2 linked regions of the Coturnix japonica genome follow. The protein of the gene in region 1 purifies or fractionates together with the protein of each later gene. This does not show direct contact. Links are inferred from orthologs where the notes say so. Each region holds a gene or a part of one and is shown in the gene's direction. Other genes may lie near its edges. The genes, in order: ECT2 and KIF23.

Region 1 (3,815 bases):
AGTAGTGTCGTAGTACTGATTTAGTGACTTTTGTACACTCTTTTTTCTAGTGACTTCTGTGCAGCTGATGATGATGTTAGAAATCAGTTCAAAGTTCCTCCCTTCCAGGACTGCTTGCTAAGTTTCCTTGGATTCTCCGATGAAGAGAAAGCAAGCATGGAAGAAATGACAGAGATGCAAGGTTATTGTTTGTAAATGCTGATCTTTGAAAATGAACGGGGCTTATAGCTGGTAAAGATTTCACTGAAGCAAAATCCTGGATTATGAATCCTAAAGCATTAGTGAGGAATCCTCACCATGGAAAGCTCTAAATTGATCTTTAGATGTCTTAAGTTCTTACAGCTGTTCAAGACTTCTATCTTCTTAGACTGATTGAAGTTAGGCCGTCTTAAAAGAAATTACAGGGTGTTTGAAAATATCCTAGGGAACTTTCAACTTTGGTATGAAGTGTTACTGGTAAAACACTTGATAGATGTTTGAGGTTTTTTGGTAGTGTAGGGTTACACTAAGAGTTGCATAAACAGTCATGAGGTAATAGATAACAATATTTCCTGCCTTGTGTTGCTAGAGCATCTATGCAATAGAGCTACAGAAGTGGGAATGCAGTGGGCTTGTAATAGCAAGCTGTCTTCAAAACATGGAAGTTGGCTGCTTTTGCCTTTTTTCTTTTTCCCTGAACTTTTTTTCACTAAAGCTTATATAAGATTATTCACAAGCTAGAACCTCTGTGTCACACAAAATATACCTGCCTTGTTGTACAAATAAGGAAGAAAAGCTTTTTAGTAAAGTATAACGTTTATTTCCAGGGAGGTTTAAATGCCCTCCAAGCTGTGCCTTCTCTCAGCATTTTTCTATGTATACTTTACTGCTGTTTGCTCGTATTATATGGGGTGTTTTGCAAGTTTTACTTGGTTATAGGTGTTGTAAAACTATCAAACCAACACCTTTTAACAATAATATTATTGTCTTGCTATTCACCTCTTTGTTTTCTTTTTTCTATAGGAGGATGTTATTTACCAGTTGGTGATGAAAGGTGTACACACTTAGTGGTTGAAGAAAGTACAGTAAAAGAGATTCCGTTTGAACCTTTAAAGAAACTTTATATTGTAAAGCAAGAGGTTAGTGCTCACGTATTCTTTAAGAAGTACTTGTATATGCTGCTCCATGTGAGACTTTTCTCTTTAGCTTAAGCTACTTGTTTGCATTCGGTGTGCAAATTGTCTTAATGCTACATACATAACTTTGAACATTTTTAACGTTGTAATTTTTTTTAATGTGTGGTTTCCTTATTCTTCAGTGGTTCTGGGGAAGCATTCAAATGGATGCCAGAGCTGGAGAGTCCATGTATTTATTTGAGAAGGTGTGTATTATGTGGATGATTTCAACACAGCTTGTACTTGGTGGTGAAATTAGTATGTGTGGAGCCAGAAATGAATGGGTTTTTTTAAGCAGCATTTAAATCTCAGGTAATGAATTGTAAGTTTACCTCTAGAGTATTAATTTGAGAAAATCTTTTGTTTACTGAAAGCTGAACCTAGTTTTAGTCAAGAAAACCAACAAAAATATGACTCCTTTTTAATATATATATATATATATGTATTTATATTTATATTTTTATTTTTACAAAATAAAAGTAGGGCTTTGTCTGGTTTTTCCTGAGGGGGGGGAAGAAATGTTCTGTGTGCTCATCTGACCTATGTTTGCCCTGAGTTGTGTTTGAAACAGCAAGTAAAAAGACTAAACTGGACTTTCTTTCTCTACAGTCAGAGAGTCCTGGCCTCAAAAAGTCTGTGTCACAACTTTCTCTGAGTACTCCAAACAGCAATCGTAAAAGACGCCGTTTGAAAGAGACTCTTGCACAGTTGACTAGAGAAACAGACATGTCACCCTTTCCTCCTCGGAAGCGCCCATCAGCTGAACACTCACTTTCTCTTGGGTCCTTGCTGGACATTTCTAACACTCCAGAATCAAGCACTACCAATGGAGGTATAGCTAGAAACCTTCATTTGCATGCACTTGCAGTGTTTGAGAGATTTCTGCGTACAATTGATAAAGGTGGTGAGGGTGAAGTCTTTCAGTATTTGCTACAGGCTTCCTGAGTAATTCTAGACTTTCTCCTTGAAGTGTGTGGTATGCAGGGTCAAGGTGAGGCATTCAGATACAGGGGCAGGCTGCTTTTCATCACAGTAAGCATATTCAACAGTACATACAGAGAGGACTTAATGGTGCTCTTAAAAACAAACAAACAAACAAACAAAAAATCAAACATTTAAAAAAAAAAACATTTAAAGACTTTAAAAGCATTATATGTTACTTGTATGTAAGAGGCAATTGTTTTAATTGAAGAGGGTAGATTTAGGTTAAATACTAATTAAGGGATTGTTCTCTATTAGTATAGTAAGACACTGCCTACAGTTAAATGTTGCAGGCTTTGCTTGTGAAGGTTAGCAATGGTTTTGGGCTGCATATATAGTATCTGAGAAAACTGTTGATGTAGCAAAGCAAAATTAGTAGAAACATAACTTGCATGTGTAATTAATATTCAGCTCTTAGCCTCCAACTGGCGCTGAGCATAAGAGGGGTGAGTCATTGACCAGCCTGTGAATGGCTTACTAGTAGTTTAATAGTCAAAGACTAATTCTGAGGTGTAAAATGTTAATATTAATCTGTAACAGGACTAATAAAGTCATTTTTAGAAAGAGTTATGATGTCTAAATAAAGAATAGCCTTTTAATCTTCTTTAATTCCCTTGAATTCTGAAAGTTTCCTTCTTGGAGGATGACCTTTTCAGGAGCTTTCATTTATAGAACTCAGTTTTCTTGTGTAAATATCTTTTAATCAGAAACGCCGAAATCCTGTGCAAGGCCATCGAGAAACTCCACTCCACTTCCGCTAAAGCAGTCTGCAAGATGGCAGGTTGCAAAGGAATTATATCAGACAGAAAGTAACTATGTTGATATTCTTACAACAATTATTCAGGTAAGCTGGTATTACAGCAAGTACTATTCTGTTGTAATAAGACACATGGTGTTTGTGTAAGTGACTTGTTTTCTTTGGGCTTTTTAGAACTTGGAGCAATAAGGGTGTGTGAGGGATGATGTATATGAGCTTACTACTTTATTGGTATATTGAGGATGTTGTTAATTATAAAGCCTGGAAGTCATAAACCAACTGCAGATCTCAGATTAGAAGCTATGCTTGATATGAAGATGTTAAACTTTAAGAAAATAGGCTCTTCATGACTTTATTTTTTTAAAGATATTAGTGCATAGAGGTGGGAAAAACACCAACGCTGTTTGCTATTGCAAGAAGAGCAGAATAGCAAGCAGTTTACGGGAACAGCTTCACTTCCTAGGAAGTTTGCTTCCTCTGTGGCTGATTATCATTCCTGAAGAATGTATGTGAGTAGAGGAGATAAAGGGATGATTCTATAGTAATGCTAACTTACCTAGTGTTTGCATTTGGAAACCACTCTTCCATAATCTCTTCCTGTTAAGTAGAAACAGGATGTATCAAGATTGTGATTGAAGGAAAGTATGATCTGGAAGACAACACCATTGTTTTCATAACTATTTCATACACAATGCATGGAAGATGTAATGACTCTTTGTCTAACACATCAGTTATTTCAAGTTCCGTTGGAGAAGGAGGGACAACTTGGAGGACCAATACTTGCACAGGAAGAGATTAAGACTATATTTGGCAGCATTCCAGATATTCTTGATGTACACACTAAAATCAAGGTAAACTGTAATTTCCCCCCGCACAGGAAGATATGATGCAAACTTTAAGTTCTGTTTGTGTTAAGCCATAGC
Region 2 (4,309 bases), on another chromosome or scaffold:
ATGGAGGGGCACTGGTGTCCTTGCTGTCAGGGAGAGTGGTTTGAAACTGAGAGATGTGGTCAGACGTTAGGGGGAGATCCTTTACCCAACAGCAGTGAGGTGCTGGCACTGCTGCCCACAGCTGAGCTTGCCCCATTGCTGGAGGTGCCCAAGGCTGGAGATGGGGCTCTGGGTGACCTGCTCAACACCTCCATGGCAGCAGGTTTGAACTGGGTGTGCTTTGGGGTCCCATCCACCCCATGCATTCTGTGATCCCACAATCAGCAGCAGAGTCTCACAGCAGGATGTGGACGCTGTGCAGGTCCCGGGGCTGAGCCCAACATTCCTGGTGCTGGGGGTATAACCCCAACTATCTGACACTCCACTCAAGTGCCTACCCAACATGGGGCTGGGGCAGACCACAGCCTGCCTTACATTCGTTTCAAGGCAATACCCAGGGCACCTCTGTTCTGTGTGTGTCAAGCAGCCTTCCCAAGGGTTTGGCTTCTCCAAGAACACATGGAATAACTCCTCAGGGCTTTGAGGCTGCTTGTCACTGGGCTGTTACTTGGTGTCACCCAGCACCTCAGACGTGATGCAGTGATGCCTGTGGAGCACTATCTCTCAGTAACCATACGGGTGTATAACAGGCTTTGTGTGTAATTACCTCTTGGAGGTAGAAGATGCACTTTGCAGTGACAAGATATGACGGGGCTACTAAGTCTTCTGGTAACAAACTCCTTTGAAAGCTGATCAATGTATTAATATATGAGCACTGGAACGTAATTGATTGTTCAACACCAAGAGAGGACACTAACAGGGCGACGGCACTGATGTATTTGTATGTACATCAATATAAATCTAACCTGATTTGATTCTGTTTCTGCCTGTGAACATAACAGCTGTGGAGATGGTTGTTAATAATTGTAAAGCTTATTTACCTCGAGTCCATGTGTGTAGGGAATGAAACCTGGCTGTGTCCACCCGGTGTCCATCATTCTGCTCCTTGGCTTAGGTTGGCTTTGGGCCTCTGAGGGCCTGGTTGGCTCCTGGGGCATCTCACGTCTCGTTCAGCTGGATCCGGCCCTGAGAATCATTTTGATGGCCTGCACTGTACTCACATCTGGAAATAAAAGCTTCGGGGCAGATCGCAATGGATAAATGGGATTTATGGCTTCTTCCTACCGCCCCTCCCACACCCCCACACCGACAGGGGGCGCTGTGGCCGGTGCTGTTACCATAGCAACGCTTGAGGCCTACACCCCAGGGCGGGGATGGGCGGTGGCTCCCCCCGACGTAATGCTGCGTGGTGACGTCACGCGAGACGCGCGCGCTGATTGGTTGGATTTGAACTGAACGGGCGCGCGGCCGCCGGGTGAGGCAGCGCGGAGTTGGGGGCCGCAGGTGGACGCTGACCCGCACCATGAAGGCGGCGTAAGTCCAGCCCGGGCCTTTAGGCCGGGCCGACTCGGTTCGTTCCGGTCCCACGCGGTGTCCGGGCCGCCCCTCACGCCTCGTTCCTTCCCACAGGAGGGTCAAGACCCCGCGGAGGCCGGCGCTGAAGAAGCCGGCGCCGTCCGGCCTGAAGGACCCTGTGGGGGTGAGTGTGGAGACTCGGGGGGCAGCAGGCCGGACCAGGCCGCGCTGTGCTGTATTGTGTTGTGTTGTGTTGTATTGTGTTGTGTTGTGTTGTGTTGTATTGTGTTGTGTTGTACTGTGTTGTGTTGTATTGTGTTGTGTTGTATTGTGTTGTATTGTGTTGTGTTGTATTGTGTTGTATTGTGTTGTATTGTGTTGTATTGTGTTGTATTGTGTTGTATTGTGTTGTATTGTGTTGTGTTGTGTTGTGTTGTGTTGTGTTGTGTTGCGTTGGGGCTCAGCTGTGTCCTCCCATAGGTGTACTGCAGGGTGCGGCCGCTGAGCCGTCCGGATCAGGAGTGCTGCATCGAGGTGATCAACGAGAACACGGTGCAGATCCACCCACCCGACGGATACAGGATATTCCGCAACGGGGAGTACCGGGAGGTAACGGCCTGAAGGGCTCCTGACCCTGCTGCTGGGGGTCCCACTCCTGACCCTGCTGCCGTGGGCCCTGTGCAGGTGGTGCTCTGAGAGAAGAGAGTTTTCCAATCCCCAAAGCCCCTTTGGAGCAGGAATGTATAGTTTCCATCCTTCAGCATCGATATATAGAATCACTATGTGGATGAGAAGAGTAGAAAAGCTCTCTGAGCTCCTCAAGCCCACCCCAGCCTACCATGCCCGTTGCCCGTGTCCCACATCTCCATGTCTGTCCTATGGATGCTTCCAGGGGTGGTGACCTCACCACTGCCCTGTGCTGCTGCATCATTGCTCTTACAGAGGAGAAATATCTCCTGATAACCAGCCTAAACCTGTGGTGCAACTTCAGGCCATCACCTCTTGTTGCATTTACTTTTGAGCAGGAGCTGACCCCCACCTCACCACAACCTCCTTTCGGGGATAATAAAAAGTAATGAGGTCTCCCCTGAGTTTCCCCCTGACTGATAATCCCAGTTCCCTCTTCTGCTCTCCTTAAGGCTCCATTCCTTCACAGCTTTGTTGCCCTTCTTGGACAGGCTTCGGGGCCTCAGTGGCTCTCTGCACGGCCTATATGCAAAAGGGCTTCTGCAGGGTGGAAGGGTGAGAGCAAAAGGGGAAAAAAGCTAAATCTGGCAAAAGTAGGATTTGTTAATAGAGCTCTGATTCTTAGAAACCAGCTCTAAGCAATATCAGGCACATGCAAGGTAGGAGATGGTATATCCTTAATGTCAGCAAAGAGCAACGTTTCTCTGTGTGTACCAAAGGGGAAAGCTGTAGTTAATGTATAAAGAGAGAAGAGTGTGTGGGCTGTTTTCTTCTCCCTGTAACTAGTGAGATGCATAAATGGCACAACGCTGTGCCGTGGAGGATCAGAGTGGATATCAGGAAACATTTATTTACTTTGAAGGTGGTTAAATCCTGGAATGGGCTCCCTAACAGGGTGGGTGGTGTCCTGTGGCTGTCAGTGGGCGATACCCTCAGTGATAGGCTTTAGCTTTTGGTTAACACTGATGAGGTCAGGCAGTTGGATTCAATCTTTGTAGGTTCCTTCTATCCAAAGTGTTTTGAAGTGGTGAAATGGTGTAAAGTAGGAAGGAGGTGGCAGGTCACTTATGGCAAGCATTTATTGTGTTTACTGGAAAGGGGACTTCAGGGCATGTGTACAGATTGAGGAGTTAGAGTGCTATAGCTCTGAGCACGGTTTGGTTGTGAAATGGCTAATTACAGGTTCCCAACAAAGTGCTATAGTTCAGTGTGACACAATCTCAACCACATTGCAAACCTGTGACTGGTAACAGGCTGGGCTGGGAAAAGACATGAACTTAAAAGCAAGAATATGAAATTCTAGAACAGAATGACTTGATCCATTGTGGGTGTCCTTGGTGTTCCTTCAGTACCTGTGTAGATGAAGGTTGGGGGTCAAACAGAAACTTGAACTTGAAACTGAAGGTTGTGAGCTCTTCTATTTGCATGTGAGGTCAGGCTTTCTGATCACTATTGTTATTGGTGGACGTAAGCTCTATGAAAACCAGAGGTTGCTGTTCTTTGTTATACAAACTTAAGCAATTATTAGAGGAGCTATAGTAAAGCAACTGTGTGTGTTCAAACATAGGTGTAATCTTAAAGCAGTTTCTTTGTCATTCTATTGAGCTAAGGGAAAAAGAATGAAGCATTTGAAGCAAGGAACTTCTGGGCAGGGGAACTTAAGACTTAGGGTGATGTGTCTCCTTTACTTCAGACGCAGTATTCATTTAAGGAAGTGTTTGGTACCCTCGTTCCTCAAAAGGAGCTTTTTGATGTTGTGGCCAAACCTCTCGTTGAAGATCTCATTCGTGGGAAAAACGGTAAGGGCTTCCTTGTTTTCTGTCATGTCTTTGTGTGTCTTTTTGTGTTGTTATGATTTTGTATGTCTTAAGGTTTCTTAGCTTGTCTAGGCAAAATATATACATCTATCTTTATATATAGATTTTTTAATATATATATATATATATATATACATGGCCATCCATACAAGGCCAGGTTGGATGGGGCCCTGGGCAACCTGGTCTAGTAAATGGGGAGGTTGGTGGCCCTGCCTGGCAGGGGGGCTGGAGATTCATGATCCTTGAGGTCCCTTCCAACCCAGGCCATTCCGTGATACACCTTATTTGCAATGGAAACAGCTGTGGTTTAGCTCCCCTGTCCAACTTCCTAGGAGCGTGTAATGCTGTGCATGCTTTGTGTGTCCAGGTGTAATTTTTTTGTGCGCTGTTAATTGAAGAAACGCTTTTTT

Evidence for each region.
Region 2: the proteins of ECT2 (region 1) and KIF23 purify together in Homo sapiens (co-immunoprecipitation; 3 studies listed by BioGRID and IntAct, with this or other methods). This does not show direct contact. The link is inferred for Coturnix japonica from reciprocal best matches to the Homo sapiens genes ECT2 and KIF23.

The regions. Positions count from the first base shown.
Region 1 is NC_029524.1:16,995,380-16,999,194, reverse strand, and holds part of ECT2 (protein ECT2), read left to right. Parts: intron 1-50; coding exon 51-181; intron 182-1,002; coding exon 1,003-1,118; intron 1,119-1,297; coding exon 1,298-1,360; intron 1,361-1,763; coding exon 1,764-1,986; intron 1,987-2,842; coding exon 2,843-2,979; intron 2,980-3,623; coding exon 3,624-3,743; intron 3,744-3,815. UniProt on the Homo sapiens protein: Guanine nucleotide exchange factor (GEF) that catalyzes the exchange of GDP for GTP. Promotes guanine nucleotide exchange on the Rho family members of small GTPases, like RHOA, RHOC, RAC1 and CDC42.
Region 2 is NC_029525.1:17,539,342-17,543,650, forward strand, and holds the start of KIF23 (kinesin-like protein KIF23), read left to right. Parts: upstream 1-1,278; 5' UTR 1,279-1,402; coding exon 1,403-1,413; intron 1,414-1,509; coding exon 1,510-1,579; intron 1,580-1,875; coding exon 1,876-2,004; intron 2,005-3,775; coding exon 3,776-3,881; intron 3,882-4,309.